Linked DNA regions of Xenopus tropicalis. The protein of the gene in region 4 binds, or shares a complex with, the protein of the main gene of each other region. Links are inferred from orthologs where the notes say so. Each region holds a gene or a part of one and is shown on either strand. Other genes may lie near its edges.

Region 1 (4,254 bases), on a different chromosome or scaffold from region 4:
TTTTTTCATTTAATAACATTAAGACCAAATATCATTTTCCGGGCTGATAAAATACAGGCCAGGTGGCCTGGCAGTTTAGTAACTGACCAAGTTGTCAGGTTCCCTATTCTTAAAAAAGGAAAGGTACCACATATTCTGTGAGTTTGGTCCCCACTAGCTAGAAGAGTTGGTTTGTTAAAGGGCCTATGGTTGAGGTAAAACTCAGTAGGTAAAGCACTAGAAGGTTTTGTAGTAGTTTGCTTTAGGAGTGAAAGCCAGGATCAGGGTAGTTAGTAGAGTAGTCAGAGACTCTAACAAAGAAACCAAGGAAGGTTAGTACCCTGCAAAGTCACCTGCCAGTATAGGGACTCAAGCGCTAGGGTCAGGAATAGGAGATTTCAAGGGACTACTGTAAGCATCCACTAGTGCTGGGGACTACCTCTGGGGTGTTGTAAACATTACGCTTGTGATTAGAAAAGAATACCATCCAAAGAATTAAAGTATTTGAGCATTTATGAGACAACTGATGTTTGCACCATCTTATCCTCCAATACCAATAACCAATGCCAATAACAAATCATCACATTGGGCGTATTAAAAGGATTAAATGGGTATGGCTAATTTTATGCTGCCACCTTTCTGGTTTCTACCTGCTTTTTACCAGGACAGCCCAGTTTTCAAAAGGGCTGTCTGGGTCAAACCTGCATGGCCAGTTTTCCAAACAAGAAAAATAAGCAGGATTCTCCTACACTGATGCAGAACTTTTCCAGATTGCTGTAGCAATGTGCCAAATGATACCCACCCCACCCTGTCTGGCTTTCAGAATGGGAAAAGGTGGCATCCATATTTGTACAGTAGTGCTACCGTATTTGGTTTCTTGATTCTTGAGCTGGTGTTGATTTTCTAAACCAGATTATTTGGTTGGTCAGAAACCAACATCAGCAATGGTATAGGGGGTCATTGGTCAATCCAAACAGGACTGGGCTGTACTCTGCTGTGGTGTCTTTTCTTCTGCCCTCTTGTTTGCTCTCCCATTTTAGCTTTTTACTTTGGGATTTGGTCGAATCCCAGTCTGACACATTGCATACAAAATGGGAAGTATTCTAGTGTACAGCTAGTTGTACTAAATGCCAAAATTTAACTGGTGATCAAAATTTTATTTCTAGGTTTTCTTTATCCTGTGGCACCTTATACAATGTCAATACACAACTGCTTAACCAAAAACCATATTATCACTACGCTTTATGTATGCTAAAAAATGTAAACTTTGAATAGTAGTTCTTTTGTTCATATGTTTTATATTTATGTGAACAGCTATAGTTAAAATTGTATCATATATAGCAACAATACAGGCTATGGAACAATGTCACCATTTATATAGTTAACGAGGGTCATTCAAACTAAACGCTTGTTATCTCAAGCAAGCGTTTAGAAAAAACCCATATATTTTCTCTACACTACAATTACCGAGATGCTTTGCGAACTGTCCGTCTCATGTGATCGGAAGTAGAGAGGCTGGATGCGCGGCGTGTCCTTGGAGGGGGAAAAATGGCTTCCGCAGCATTGAGGATACTCAAGTGAGTTTGTGTCAAGCGCTGCTGCTTTTAACTTACTGACAGAAAATGTCCGTATTCAAGAATTCTTGCTGGGCTGTATTGTCGGATATAGTTAGCTTCAAGCTTTACGAATACCACGCCCTAAGGCTTTCTGCTTCATATGGAGAATGAGTCTGTGCGAAATAAATGGTTTTAGCAAATTCCTACTCATTTTAGGTTTGCCACCAAAGCAGGCCTGGCTGGGGGAGCTGTGTATGTGGCGTATGACCAGGGGCTGCTGGGCAGTGGCACCCAAGGAGAGGAGGTGCTGAAGAAGACCACAGCTGCCATACCGCCTGCCATTCAAGAATGGGCTAATTACTTCGGCTGGCAGGTAAACTAATTAAAGAGGTGTAAGTGTGTGTGTCTATATATCCATATCATATATATAATAGAAAGAGTGCCGCACTCACAGGGACTTGATACAAAAGAAAGTGTTTTTATTGAAAAAATTCCAACATTTCGAGCACAACCAGTGCTCTTCCTCAGGTCCACAAGTCCCTGTGTGTGCGGCACTCTTTCTATTATATTTTTGTTTTTGACCTGCACCAAAGGCATTTGGACTTGTATAGGGTGTGCTCCTCCCTGTGTACCATATCACACACACACACACATATATATATATATATATATATATATATATATATATATATATATATATATATATATATATATTTTTCCTTATTGGATGCAAAACAATCCTATTGGGTTTATTTAATGTTTTATTGATTTTTTTAGTAGACTTAAGGTATGGAGATCCAAATTACGGAAAGACCCCTTATCTGGAATACCCTTGATCCCAAGCATTCTGGATAATGGTTCCTATACCTGTATAAGGAACAGCGTAACTTATTTTGGCACAATCCCTCCTGTACAGGTTAGTACAGTGCTATACAGCCACAGTTCCATCAGTACATTACAGAGCATGTGTAAATGTTTTTATAGCATGTTTTAATTAAACTGCCTGAGGTGATGTGGCTGCTCTAAATTTAAGCAATGTAGATTATGCATTGCTCGCGTTAAACAGTCAAACATGGAGGTTTACTACCTCTTTAAGCATTTTAGACCAATGTAGATTATGTTTGTAGCATGCACAAGGCCTTAAACTAGTACATTATTGTATACTTTGTAGTGCCAACATATTCTAAAGCTCTTTACTGGGACTGAATTATACAGTATATAAAATGATAACAATAACATGTAAGAATGAAGAGAGGTCCCTATTCACTAGAGCTTACAATAAGGAAATGCATTGACTAAAGGTCCCCATACACAGTAAGATCCGCTTGCTTGGCAAGATCGCCAAGCGAGCAGATCTTCCCCCGATATCCCCACCTACGGGTGGGCGATATTGGGGAGCTTGAACGACCGGATTATGTAGGCGGCAATGGGGCAGTCGGTTCGGGGACCGCATCAACGAGCCGATGCGGTCCCCGATCCGACTGGATTTTCTAACCTGCCCGATCGATATCTGTCCAATTTCAGGCCAGATATCGGTCGGCCAGCCCGCTTGTTTCTGCCCCTACATGGGCCCTTGTATGGGGGCCTTAAGGCTAAATGCTTGCTTGGGCAATGTAATATGAAATGTATCTTAAATAAGCTTTTGCAAGTTTTCTTATTGCCCTGTGGATCAACCAGTTTCCCCAAAGACATGCACCTTCATAGAAAGCCTTCATTTGTGAACAGTTAAACATATGATGGAGTAGTGCACTTTGATTTTAAAACAGGCAAAATCCTATTTAAATGTATGTACCACTGTATGTAATTCTTTGTGACAGTGACATACACACAGAGAAATAATGTATTCTTTGTTTTTCTCAATGTCTGTGTGTATTACCCATGGACAATTGTTAAATAGCATTTTTAAGTATATTTGCAGCATGGGAGAGGTCTTGGAGGTGTTACATACGGTTGAAAAAAAGACCAGAGTTCAACCCTTCCAAGTAAACCCAGCACACAAACCTATACTGACCTATCTATGCACTCACATACATAAACTATATATACAGAAATTAATACTAACTGTAGATATTAGTGTAGCCCACCCTAGGGTATGGCTTGGTGTACTGTAGTTGTGACTGTGGTGACACCCCAAAGATTCCCAGTAAATACCAACACAAACAGGAAGTAAACCCAGATTTATTACACAGGAACTGGGCTGAAAATGAGTTAGAAAAATTAAATGCAGATAAATGCAGAAAGTATGAACAGGCAGAAATAGCAATAACAGTGCAATGCAATGTAAACTGCACTAGCAGTTAAGTTCTAACAACAAAGTTTGGGAGCTCCCCTAATGTCCTATAAGCCGGCAGCGTTGGGGCCCTTAAACAACAATTTACATCCAGGATGCTTGTACTTTGTTATTATAGCTTCAGAGGAAACCAGCTTGGCTACATTAGTATCACAATAGCCTTGGATATTCTGCTTGTTCAAGAACTCATCCAAGCCCCTCCATCCAGGCATTAACAGAATCTGCGATTGCAACATCACTAGGAAGGGCATTCCCCAACCTCACTGCCCTCACCATGAAAAACCACCTACGCTGCTTCAAATGGAAGCTCCGTTCCTCTAATCTAAAGGGGTGACCTCTGGTGCGTTGATTGTTTTTATGGGAAAAAAGAACATCCCCCAACTGCCTATATTCCCCTCTAATGTATTTATACAGAGTAATCATGTCCTC
Region 2 (4,096 bases), on a different chromosome or scaffold from region 4:
GGCGTTGAAATAATCATGACACACCATATTTTGAGTACACAAATCTTTTTATTCTTATTCATGCAAATGATTTTATTTTTATTTTTACTTTGATGTAAATAATGTCCATATATGTTTGCACAAAAGTAAAGGGATCTGATGGTTTACACTGTATTGGATACGTCACGTTTGCACGTCACGATGTAGTTTCCCGCCACACTGTGTATTTAAGTTCTGTTTGGTTTGCTTACGTGTAACTTTGAGAAAGGCTACTGCTGTAGCCGAAACGTCAGTTTTTTGCTGTTCACCCAAATAAAATTAATATTTTTTCTATAAGTCCTGTGTGATGCGATCCATTTTCACCTATTATATATATATATATATATATATATATATATTTGTCTGTTGCAGGATGATGCTAGCTTACTTGCCCCCCCTTGGAAAATTTTCTGCGGACGCCCATGATTGAATCTATAAATGTTTTAATTTATTAGAAAGATTATTGTTTGGGCTTTACAAGGCTAAAAACCAGACAGATGAGACCAGAACAGGCCTAAGAAAAACTGAACTGTTCAGGTCAAAACTGGACAGGAGACGACCAGGGCTGTATTTATGTCTGGTGCTACCCTAGGCAAGGGACCTAAATACCACTATCACTTCCCCTGTCCCTCACCACCCCAAGCTCTGTCACCAGATTTCCTATGGAGGGCATATTTTTTTTTTTTTTTTTAAATAAAACCTATATATAGGCAACCCAAGGGCCACCCCCCCAAAACCTGCCACCCAAGCACAGGTACTCAGTTGCTTAAATATATATAATATATATATATATATATATATATATATATATATATATATATATATAACCTAACTTGCCAGGATTTGCTTTTTGTGAGAGGGTGCCTAAACAGTTATTCCACCCATTACTTGTAGTATATATATATATATGCCTATTTATATCTGAGCAATCTTAAATTAAATTTAAAAAAAAAAAAATATATATATATATATTTTTTTTTTATTTAATTTAACATTGCTCAGATATAAATAGGCATGTTACACAGCTAGCTAATGCTATTTTAATGAACACATTCGCAACAAATAACACAGTAACAGAGAGCAATAAACAAACTCATAAAGTAGGCTGGCTGGCAATAACTTCACCACAGTGCACCGCGCCCTCACAGTTCTGCCAGAACTACAACTTCCAGAAGACCGAAAGAGAACAGCGCCGCTCTTGATTGGTGGAAGCAACCTAAAGCGCTGCGATTGGCTATTGTGTTTTGTTCTCTGCCAATGAGCGCCGAGTGGTTGGCACATGCGCACAGGTTACTAGTCAGTCTCAGGGCAGCTGCCTGGAAGTGGTTGCCGTGGTAATCATCATGGGGGGCAGTGAGAGCACCGGGAGGAAGGTGTCCTTCGGGATGGATGAGGAGGAAAGGGTGCGAGTGCTGCGAGGAGTCAGGGTGAGAAGAGGGGCTTATCCGTATTATCGCAGTGCATGTGGTGGGGCTGCATCATTGTGCTTCTTGCGACCACCAGACTCAGTACCCTCAGGGGATGCTGGGAAATATCTTGTGCGTGTCAATGGATGTGCGTCCTTATGGCATGGCATGACAGCCCCTGTGCTCTGTGTGTAGCACAAACAGCTTTGCAGGTTGCTCATACTAAGTTTATAGACAAACTTCGCCTCTCTGATATTTGCAGAACGACAACTTCCCACATTCTGCGATAGTGAATCAAAGGTCGCCTGTTCCACTGCGATTAATGGATCTCAAAATAGTGGAGTGGAGTTATGTGGTTAATATATGGGGCATGTGGGACTGGCCAGTTGTGTTTATAGGGTGCAGCAGTTCTATCTACACAATTCTGCAGTCAGGGGAATTCAAATGAATGGGTTTAATGGGAATATTATAGTACTTACCTTAACACCTTGTTTGAAGCTGGGATTGTAGAAATGGAGCTGGGCCCCTGGTCATTAACAGATACCTAAGGGCCCAATTTAACACCTGTCACTCCCCATCTGTTCCTGAACAGCAACTTCTAGAACCCTCCCTGATAATGTAGCTACAAGGCAGTATGCTGGGTATTCCTGATATAATATATATATATATATAATGTTCCTCTCTGTCCTAACATTGGTCCTGGAGCTTACCGTACTTGGGAATCCTGTTGTTTAAATTCATAGTTCATACATCTGATGGTACATGGGGTATATTCTCTGCTTTTTCTCATCCAGTTGTCAAGTGCCCAAATGTGCTGCTTCCTTGTTAATTTGAAAGAGAAACATGTGACAGTGACAGTGCTATTATTCTGGGGAGGCAGAAGTGGTGGTGCGGGTCAATTGTCCACCAACTGAAAAGCCCTGTTAGTAAATAAAGCATGTGTCCCATTGTCCAAGGCTGATATCAAGCCCTATATTGCAGCCCTTGGGCAATTTTGTGTATATTGAAGATTGAGTGCTTTTTAACCCAAAAAGCTTATTGAACTTGTGCTTTGCAGGCTTTCAGCCAATCAGCTCTCTTTTAGTGTCTGAGTGTCACTGAGCATTTCCTGCTTAGTCAGCTAACTCTAGGGTCACTGACTCTAGTTGGGAGCCTTGTATTAGCAGTCTAAAACTGCAAATATCTCAGAAACCACAAGAAATAAAAAAAACATTCCCAGAGTAGCAATGTGGGGATGTTACCTGTTTTAATTGCCTTCTGTGGACTCCAGCTCTGAAAAACTTGCCTTGTCCTTGTCTTTGCAAATACAAGAAGACATTGCAAACCTTATCTGATGCAGAATGGGAATACATTTTTGTGTGTGAGGTTTTTATTACATGTGAAAATGATATATGAATATTATGTAGCTTTTAACATTGTTTTTCCTCTTCTTCCCATACTTAAAACATTAACAGTAACTGAGAAATTAGATTACTAAAAAGAACAAACATTGATTGAATTTATTTTCAAATAGCGTATGTATATACATGGAAGTTTACTATAACTAGCTTCATTGTAGCACTCAGAATGCAATAAATGAATAGAGCCAAGAAACACCTAGGGGCCCATTTAAGGACATTCATATTTTTTTTTGTTTTCCCTATTTGTGGTTTTTAGAGTTAAGACTAAATTGCATGTAATTAAATTTCATATAATTAGTAAAACATGAATTTTACTAATTACATGAAGTTTGTGATTTATTAAGTGAAAAAAAAAACAAAAAAAAAGGACAAAACGACATTAAAAATCTTTCAGGTCATGTAGAAGTCAATGGGATCTGTCCCAGGACAATTGTAACAATCTTTATTTAATTCTTGGTTTTAGTTTTCATGTTTTTCATGATTTTGTTTTGTGTTTTTATTTGTTCCTGCTTTTTATACTCAGATATTTTAAGTAATGACCAGACATTGGTCGCCCCCCCCCCCCATCCTGTGTGCTCATGTGCGACTTTGGCATACTGCCCCTACATTTGTGCTGCCCTAGGCCTGGGCCTGGTAACTTGGGCACACTGGGCCCCTCCTTTGAGGATTCCTTCCTCCATCGCCCCCCTCCTAGACCACTTGCACCTCACCTCCTGGCCCACACCCTTTAAGAGGGCGCCCCATGACCGTGGGGTCTGCTCTATAGGTAGCTATGCCTTCGGTTCTTATGCTGGAATTTAGTGTTTGCCTTTTTTTATTACATGGTCTTTAGTAAATGTTCTTATAAGATAGTAGAGGCTTTCTCTTTGCACGCCATTGTTGTTCAGTGCTTTCCTGATTGTGCACTGGATTTTTTTTTTTTTAAATGGCCTTAAGGGTGGATAGTTTGGTGAGGTTTCCAAATGAGCAGATCTTTCCTCCAGTATGCCCATAAGGATAGGAATAGGAGCCATCAGAGCAAGGCTATGGCCCCCCAATCCAATGCAAAAATCAAACCATTATGTCTTTGACTCATTTGTTTAACTGGGTTCTCATGATCTAGTTTTAAGACTTGTATGAAAAACAGATCGCATTTTAGGTCATATTTATGCAGAAATATTGAAAATACAAAAGAATTCACAAACTTTCAAGCTCCACTGAATGTCATATTAATAAGATATTGCCAGGTTTCAGTTTTCTTACAGGAATCTGTAAAAGCACAAGCTTTTGTTC
Region 3 (4,269 bases), on a different chromosome or scaffold from region 4:
CCCCTCTGGCATTCCCAGTACACAGAGGCCCAAACAGCCCCCCCAGCCCAATAAATAGTGACTGTCTGTGGCATCTTACAGCAGCCCCTCTGGCATTCCCAGTACCCAGAGGCACAAACAGCCCCCCAGCCCAATAAATAGTGACTGTCTGTGGCACCTTACAGCCCCCCTGGCATTCCCAGTACCCAGAGGCACAAACAGCCCCCCAGCAGCCCAATAAATAGTGACTGTCTGTGGCACCTTACAGCCCCCCTGGCATTCCCAGTACCCAGAGGCACAAACAGCCCCCCCAGCCCAATAAATAGTGACTGTCTGTGGCACCTTACAGCCCCCCTGGCATTCCCAGTACCCAGAGGCACAAACAGCCCCCCCAGCCCAATAAATAGTGACTGTCTGTGGCACCTTACAGCCCCCCTGGCATTCCCAGTACCCAGAGGCACAAACAGCCCCCCAGCAGCCCAATAAATAGTGACTGTCTGTGGCACCTTACAGCAATCCATAGACTGCCATTTTGGGCCTGAGGGGAGATTTGTCACCCTTGGTTAAATCTGGGTTACTGTGGGTGACAAATCTCCCCAAAATGCTTTGCAACCAGCAGTAAAGTAAGTTGACAGTGGGAAAGCATATACAGTGCTTATTTCCTTGCCCGCGGCAGCCCAGATTTAGCCATGGGCAGAAAATCTCCCCTTGTGCCATAAGCCTTAGAGGGTACCTGCCATTTTGCTGGGGGGGGGGGATAAAAACTGCATTGTGGGTAAAAAAAGATAGCATAGTGACCTATTCATATCAACATCCAAGGGCACGGCTATCAATGGGAGCAGGGTGGCACGTTAAGTAGCATTCCTGCCCCACATTGCTGAGCATTACGTGCAGATTGGGCACTGTGTGCTTGGCATCTGAGTAACGTTCCTCTGTGCCATTGCTGTGCATCCTCCAGCAATATAGGGGAAAGTTAACTGGCTCCTGTTGATATTGCCCCCATGTCGGAGAATTTGTGGGTTCCTGCATGCTGTCAGTAAGCTGTGGAGAAGTTGTTACAATTTGTAACATCAATGTTTTAGTCCCTTCTCCCCTGCCAGGATTTCAAATGATGCAGAAAGAGAAGAACTGTTTTGCAGCTGGATTTCAGCATATAAAATGGTATTTATTCCTACTTTTTGAAGGAACAGATTACAGTGATAGGGATTTGGGGGGTTTCTGTGCTGTGTGGGGCTCTGTAACACATTTTGGCGCAGAAGCCAGAGTTCATCTTTAATATTCTGCAGACTTTATTATAAGCAAATAATTCCGATTTCCTATTTCTCTGAAATATTAGAACAGTACCTTGTATGAGATGGTAACTAAGCAGCACAGATCCATGTGAGTGGCAAAACAATCCTACTGGGTTTATTTCAGCTTTTAATTATTAAGTATGGAGATCCAAATAATGGAAATATACCTTCCCCAGGTCCCTAGTACACCTGTATAAGGATTCCTACCCTGGGCTGGGGTCAGATACAGATTAGAAAGTAGAAGGCAGAGTGCCAACGCTCTATACATCATTAGATCTGCTTCATACAACACAATGTACATATAAAGGGGCAGTTTACATTGAAATGAACTTTTAGTATGATGCAGAGAGTGCTATTCTGCAACAGTTTGCAATTGGTCTTCATTTTTAATTACTTGCAGGTTTTGATATATTTTTCTTTGTGTTCAACAGCTCCCCAATTTTACATTTTAGCAGCTGTATGGTTGCTAGGGTCCGATTTAACCTAGCAACCAGCCAGTGGTTTAAAAGGTAGATGGGAATATGAATAGAAGAGGGCCTACATAGAAAGATAAGTAATAAAAAGACACAATGGTGAAGGTGAAGCAGCGCTTTTATACAATTTATATGGAAGAATGAAAAGATGATATTTTCTCCCAATCAAAAAGCAAACCTTAACTGTCGCAAAAGGCTGTCAAGGGATGCTGGGAGTTGTGGTCCAATAACTTTAACTAAGCTCTTTGCCACTCTCTGTACTGTCCCTGGCACCAGATAGGAGCTAGGCCCTGGGGATGGGACACCAAGCAAGGTCACACCTACAGGCAAAAGACAAGTGGGGTTTATGCAGACAGGGGCGCTCTCGCAGGAGGGTACAATTAGCCACTGAGGCTAAAATAAACTTTAGGCCGTATACAGGCCGTGTGCCCCGGTGACCTAGCCCCATGCCGCCTCACAGTCCCTCGCCACTATAGCTTTCCATTCTACCTGCCAAAATATACATCGCTCATTGGCTTCACAGAACGTCCGTCAAAACAACTAACCACGTTATAGGTCTAACAGACGTCAATCTAACGCTAGCCCCGCCCGAGCAGCGTCATATATTTAACCAAGGGGTAATTGGCTAAAGTGCCAAGGACATTGGAATCTGATTGGCCGGTCAGCCTGCAGCTTGTTAAAGCGGTTGCCTGTAATTGGCTGGAGTGAAAGGAAGTCCTAGGCGCCGCTGACGGCTCCCAGCCTTGGAAGCCGGGGTCCCTTACTTCGTAAGGCTCAGTACTGCTGTTTCCCGGCCTTTAGGCGATATCCTGTCAGAATCCATCCCCGCCCATTCTCCCAACTAGAAGCTCCCTCACTGCAACACTGTGTACTCTTTCGCGCTATCCACTCACCTTGGCGAGCACCGCCGCCTGGGCCTTCCTGCACACCCGCAGCATGTTCTCCGGTGTGATGGGGAGGGCAAGCTCCGGGAGCGCTCTCAGTACGGCATGAATGGAGGCGCGGTCCGTGTAGCACCTCTAGCTCCGCCTACGTCATTCGCCGGGGTACGCCCACTATGGCATGACAGCTTGATTTTTTTTTTAATTCAACAGCTTTATTAATAACACTTCTGAGAACAAGATAGGGATTTGCGTATCCAATACGGGTCTCATGGCTGGGGCATGCTGGTACTTGTAGTTCCTAACAGGGATATCGTGTGTTGTGGTTTATCGCAGTGTTATAGAGTTTGTACCACATGACTTTTCGCACTACGTATTAATAAAGGGGACTTTCACCATGAAACTGGCTTTTGCGCAATAAAATGTGGTTAAAATAAACTTTACACTCTCTGTGCAGCTCTGTGATGGCTGAAAGCAGTGCCTGCCTGGTTACAGTCTGTGCACCGCGGGTTCTGACTCACAGCAATGTAGCAGAAGCAGCTGATACACCTAGAGAACTATCCTTTGCATAGTTTCACAAGTCACAGCTGTTTCTGTAATAACTTTGTGTAGAGTGTAAGCTCTTTTGGGCAGGGCTCTCTTCACCTCTTGTACCGGTTATTGATTGCTTTATATGTTACTCTGTATGTCTCCTTGTAGAGTGTAAGCTCTTTTGGGCAGGGCCCTCTTCACCTCTTGTATCGGTTATTGATTGCTTTATATGTTACTCTGTATGTCCCATGCATACCTCCCAACATTTGAAAAATGAAAAGAGGGACAAAAAGATTTGGTGCGCGCAGCGCGGCAATTTTTTTGACCACACCCTCTTTTGTGACCACGCCCCAATTACCACACCCCATTAAAAAAATACTCCTTTTATATAGTTAAAATGGCGGGATCAGACGCAAATGTGCTATACTCTCATACTGTACTGCCTAAGGGAAACATTATAGCAACTCCTACATATAAATACAAATATAGAGAGAAGGCAGTGAGTTATATGTGAGTTATAACTATGTACCAGTTTTGCCCCCCCATACACAGGTGCCCCCCATACACAGTGCCCCCATACACAGTAGCACAGCATGTCATGACACTCATTGTTGCACAAGCATTACAGTGTATGTATAAGGCATACATTACAGTGAGAAGTATAAGGCAATATCCTTTCAGCAATACTTTTAATAGAAAGCAAAATGTATTTTAGATATTAATGAATGCAGGGAGTTGTAGCAAACTAACATGGTTAAGCTAATTACCCTGCAGGTAGTATTATAGATGATACACTGACCACCATCAGGGTTTTGTCCTGTACCAGTAAGGAAGACTGGGGTTAAGGAAATGTTGGCCTAAAGGTTCAGGATAACTCTGGGTAGGGAGGTTATCAGAAGGAGACAGCTAAAGAGAGCTCAGCAGTGAAAGAGGTGTAGGGGGTAGCAGGTAAACAGCTTAGTGAAACTTGTACCGGGCAGGGCCGGATTTCTGTTTTGGGCGCCCCGAGGCCACCCCTGTCGGTCGTCCCCTCCCCACCCGTGCGCATGCGCGAAAGCGCCCCCAGTGCGCATGCGCGAAAGCGCGCCCTCCTGTGCGCATGCGCGAAAGCGG
Region 4 (4,254 bases):
CTGGATTCCCCTTATCCACATGGTCCTAACCAAGATTATAATTTATATCTGTTTTTATGTACTGTGAGTTTGCATTTTTCTTTGGAACTCATGCTCGTGTGTTTGATAGACTTTGTGTAGATATATCAAAACGGATACTTTATTCTTTATTTACAGGGCTGGAACCCTGCAAACAGCAGAAATGATAATGGACTATGTCATTTACTCCTATGGACTTTAAATGGCAGTGTTTTATAAATTGTGAAGGAGTTGCTGTGCACATGGCTTGAAACTTTTAAACAAAACTAAAAATAGGCAAGAAGTTGTACAGCTTATCAGTACCATCTTTCAACCTTTTAATAAAGCATCTTCTTGAAATGGTAAACTCTTAATATGAATTCAAGTCAGAAGTGTGTAAAAACTTATCTGTTTGGGGCAAAAATATAAAAACAAATATAAGTAGGAGGTCTATATTAAAGAACAGGATGAAGTAGAGATGGGAGAACTTACCTTGCCCCATACCACATAAGGCCAAATAGTTTCCCTCACTGAAGACAATCCAGACTGGAGACGGCCAGGGTGTTCTTCGATATATTTAGATTTTTGTGCAGGAACGGAATAAACAGATAGCTATAAATAAGAGATATTTTGTTTGCATTTTCAAGGTCTAAAACAATGCCTATATATGTATAAATGCTCAATTATGGTACTGATTGGTGAACACATTTATTAACTCTCATTCTGTATTTCAAAATCATCACTTAACATGTATCTCTTATCCTGTTCAGCAGGGTTATGGGTAGTTTTGAAGCTTAAAGGGAACATATACCTCCTTTGGCATCAGCTCATGCAGTTAGGGTTAGGAAGAAAAGTGCATAGACACTATCTGAACTTTCAAAAATAAATATAAATGCAGCCTTTTCTGCAGGGGTTGGATTCCCTCCCCCTTAGACTCACAGAGTGATCCAACCCATTCCTAACTGTATTCCATTGTGAAGTGATGGATTTTGGGACCTGAAGCCCCTCTGCTTTGCGAAGAATCTAAACCAACCACTATGTAAAGTAGAGGGACTTCAAGTCCCAGGATCCACAAAGTGAGGGAGGAGTTGCATCACTTTGTGAACTTCAATTCACTTTGTGGAATCAGGTATGTCTGTTAAAAAGAATAATACATTTATATTTACTGTGGGAAGTTCAGCTCAACTGAATGAGCTCTTTTTAAAAAGGAGGGTATAATTTCCATTAAACACTGACAATCAGAAGAGCCTATGACTTCAAGTGCTGACATGAGAATATGCTACAATCTGCACCAACTGGGTCAGTTTTATCTGGAGCCAGTTAATGGTCCTGTATGTTTTGAAGAGCTAACTACTTAGCGACCATGTTTGAATTCAGTCCTTTCAAACAGGTAGGGATTATTACCTGAATAGGTTTCAGGAGATTTCCCTTAGGCTCCCGGTCTGAAACTGCATAAAGGCCATAAGAGGTGAAAACTAGGCCAGCAGGCACTGCTGCCAACTTGAATATCTGCAGGAGAGAAAGCATTCAATAAAAGCATTTAATAAAAACAAACTTTTTACACAGAGACATTCCTGAGAGGGGCAAGTTATGTAACAACTGCCATGTTATGTAACAACTACCCCGAAGGTTGTGCCCTTTTCCATTGCATAGTTTTACCACAGAAACACAGAGACCTATTCGCACACCCTACCTCTCCAAAGAGTCCTTTATCCGGTGCCTACTGCTGGAGGGATCGGCACCCTCCAAAAATATTGAAGCAATCAAAAAAAGCAAATGGCACTCAGGACTACAAAACAAGGGTAAAACCCTATTAAAAATTTATTGCGGAGGTGCAACGTTTCGGGGCAATGTGACCCCTTTATCAAGCATTGATAATTTATCATGCTTGATAAAGGGGTCACATTGCCCCGAAACGTTGCACCTCCGCAATAAATTTTTAATAGGGTTTTACCCTTGTTTTGTAGTCCTGAGTGCCATTTGCTTTTTTTGATTGCTTCAATAGTTTTACCACAGCACACTACATTTAATCTCAAATGTGATTTGATACTCATTTCAGATTTAAACTGCATATAAAACACAACCTAATGTAAATATATGTTATTGGGTCTTGGGGTCCAGAACAGGGATGTAACTACAGCACAGCGGTTATTTTGGGAGTTACCCCAGGAACGCAGGAGGCCTAGTAATACTCTAATTAATGAGCAATTTCAATATATTCTTGTAGAATGTAAGGCTACCAATATTTGGGGCCCAGAAACATCTAGTTGTCACTGGTGCAGAGGGTAGGATCTAAACATATGCAATTGCTATATACATATAAAGATATACAGAAAACATGGGGGGAGCTGTCCCTTAGAGTGTTGCACACCAGCCTTCAGCCCACCGCAAGCTGCATTATTAAAATTCAGATCCACAGCTAGGAAAGTGCTGCAAGGCTAGCCAACAAACACTTTCAGGGTGAGAGGATATTGATTGGCTAAATATATACATGCGAGCTGGCATGGGCCAGGTAGAGATTTGTGGGGAGAGAAGATGAAGAATATGACAGGTACAAGAACATTTGGAAGGACAGTGGGAGTACAGAGAGGGATTCAATGTACAAAGTATAATGTGACAGATGCTCAGGGAAAGTGGCAGATCGCTTAATCACACCAACGCCAATGCACGCTGGATACGTTTACTCAGAAAGACATAAGACTGTAAAGGAGGAGGAACACTCACCTTGGCCACCATGTCCGCCCCCTCCTAGCGGGCAACTACGGTGCAGTGGTGAGTTCAAACCTCTTCCTTTCTCGAACAGCGCATTTCGGCCAAGCTCGAATACATCACGTGACCTACACATATCAGTCCGCCAGTGCAAACTGAGTTCAGCGTAGTGGAATAACTATAATAACTGTGTGTGCTGAACTGGGTTCAGCGTAGTGGGGTAACTATAACTGTGTGCTGGGAAACTGGGTTCAGCGTAGTGGGGTAACTATAACTGTGTGTGCTGGGAAACTGGGTTCAGCGTAGTGGGGTAACTATAACTGTGTGTGCTGGGAAACTGGGTTCAGCGTAGTGGGGTAACTATAACTGTGTGTGCTGGGAAACTGGGTTCAGCGTAGTGGGGTAACTATAACTGTGTGTGCTGGGAAACTGGGTTCAGCGTAGTGGGGTAACTATAACTGTGTGTTCTGGGAAACTGGGTTCAGCGTAGTGGGGTAACTATAACTGTGTGTTCTGGGAAACTGGGTTCAGCGTAGTGGGGTAACTATAACTGTGTGTGCTGGGAAGAACGTACGATGGGAGTTTTCCGGGAAACTTGCGCTGTATGGGGCTGTGACTCCCGTGTTTTTATCTTTTGAGGGTAATTATTTAGGGGCTGTTTAAACTTTGGAAACTGCTGTCAGTCAGTGGGCCGCCTCCTGAACTCAGTATCGGCTGCGGGTGTTCAGGGCTGCTGGATTTGAGGGATGTATCTAAAACAATGCAGCTAACGGGGCTGAATTGCATTGCAGTTTATTTCAAATGCAATCATTGCTGCCCTGCAATATGAATTTATTAGATGTGACCCTGAATTTTCAAGTGATGTGGTCATTTTATCTCTACACTTATTAAAGGAGAATGAATTAAGATTGTACCTGTGAATTATACTCCTCCAGATATAGAAGGATTGTGCTTAAAAAAAAAGGTTCAGACTGATTTATTGAGAAATTCCACCAAAACCTCACTAGCCCTCCCATCTGTTCCACTTCCTGCTGGCTGAATTCTCTGGATGAGCTGGGGAGCCAGCGGCCCTCCGTACCCTGCACTGTAGGATAGGAACCAATCAGCAGCTAGGCTGACCTGATAGGGAACTGAAGTCTGTCATTGCTTGTGTGAGTGCAGGGTTGTGATTGGCTCTCCCCCTCCTACCATGCTTCTGGCAGGGACCGTTAGGACACACCCACTCTCCATTTCAAACTGGGACAGAGAAGCCAGAGGATCTATAGCAGGGGTCCCCAACCTTTCTTACTCGTGAGCCACAGTCAAATGTAAAAAGACTTGGAGAGCAACACAAGCACCATAAAAGTTCATGGAGGAGCCAAATAAGGGCTGTGATTGGCTATTAGGGGCCTCTATGCACCCTATCAGCTTACAGGGGCTTTATTTGGTAGGAAATCTTGTTTTTATTCAACCAAAACTTGCCCCCAAGTCAGGAATTCAAAAATAACTACCTGGTTTGGGGGCACTGAGAACAACATCCAAGGGGTTGGGGAGCAACATGTTCCCCTC

Evidence for each region.
Region 1: apool (region 4) and micos13 share a complex: the UniProt entries of both Homo sapiens proteins name them as parts of the mitochondrial contact site and cristae organizing system (MICOS) complex. The link is inferred for Xenopus tropicalis from reciprocal best matches to the Homo sapiens genes APOOL and MICOS13.
Region 2: apool (region 4) and chchd6 share a complex: the UniProt entries of both Homo sapiens proteins name them as parts of the mitochondrial contact site and cristae organizing system (MICOS) complex. The link is inferred for Xenopus tropicalis from reciprocal best matches to the Homo sapiens genes APOOL and CHCHD6.
Region 3: apool (region 4) and immt share a complex: the UniProt entries of both Homo sapiens proteins name them as parts of the mitochondrial contact site and cristae organizing system (MICOS) complex. The link is inferred for Xenopus tropicalis from reciprocal best matches to the Homo sapiens genes APOOL and IMMT.

Annotation. Positions count from the first base shown.
Region 1 is NC_030677.2:114,330,571-114,334,824, reverse strand, and holds the start of micos13 (MICOS complex subunit MIC13), read left to right. Parts: upstream 1-1,444; 5' UTR 1,445-1,527; coding exon 1,528-1,556; intron 1,557-1,751; coding exon 1,752-1,908; intron 1,909-4,254. UniProt on the Homo sapiens protein: Component of the MICOS complex, a large protein complex of the mitochondrial inner membrane that plays crucial roles in the maintenance of crista junctions, inner membrane architecture, and formation of contact sites to the outer membrane.
Region 2 is NC_030680.2:134,698,647-134,702,742, reverse strand, and holds the start of chchd6 (MICOS complex subunit mic25), read left to right. Parts: upstream 1-1,286; 5' UTR 1,287-1,361; coding exon 1,362-1,445; intron 1,446-4,096. UniProt on the Homo sapiens protein: Component of the MICOS complex, a large protein complex of the mitochondrial inner membrane that plays crucial roles in the maintenance of crista junctions, inner membrane architecture, and formation of contact sites to the outer membrane.
Region 3 is NC_030677.2:17,822,749-17,827,017, forward strand, and holds the start of immt (MICOS complex subunit MIC60), read right to left. Parts: upstream 2,811-4,269; 5' UTR 2,683-2,810; coding exon 2,638-2,682; intron 1-2,637. UniProt on the Homo sapiens protein: Component of the MICOS complex, a large protein complex of the mitochondrial inner membrane that plays crucial roles in the maintenance of crista junctions, inner membrane architecture, and formation of contact sites to the outer membrane.
Region 4 is NC_030684.2:63,236,985-63,241,238, forward strand, and holds the start of apool (MICOS complex subunit MIC27), read right to left. Parts: upstream 2,805-4,254; 5' UTR 2,734-2,804; coding exon 2,722-2,733; exon of another isoform or gene 2,682-2,721; intron 1,507-2,681; coding exon 1,402-1,506; intron 610-1,401; coding exon 490-609; intron 358-489; exon of another isoform or gene 238-357; coding exon of another isoform or gene 157-237; intron 1-156. UniProt on the Homo sapiens protein: Component of the MICOS complex, a large protein complex of the mitochondrial inner membrane that plays crucial roles in the maintenance of crista junctions, inner membrane architecture, and formation of contact sites to the outer membrane.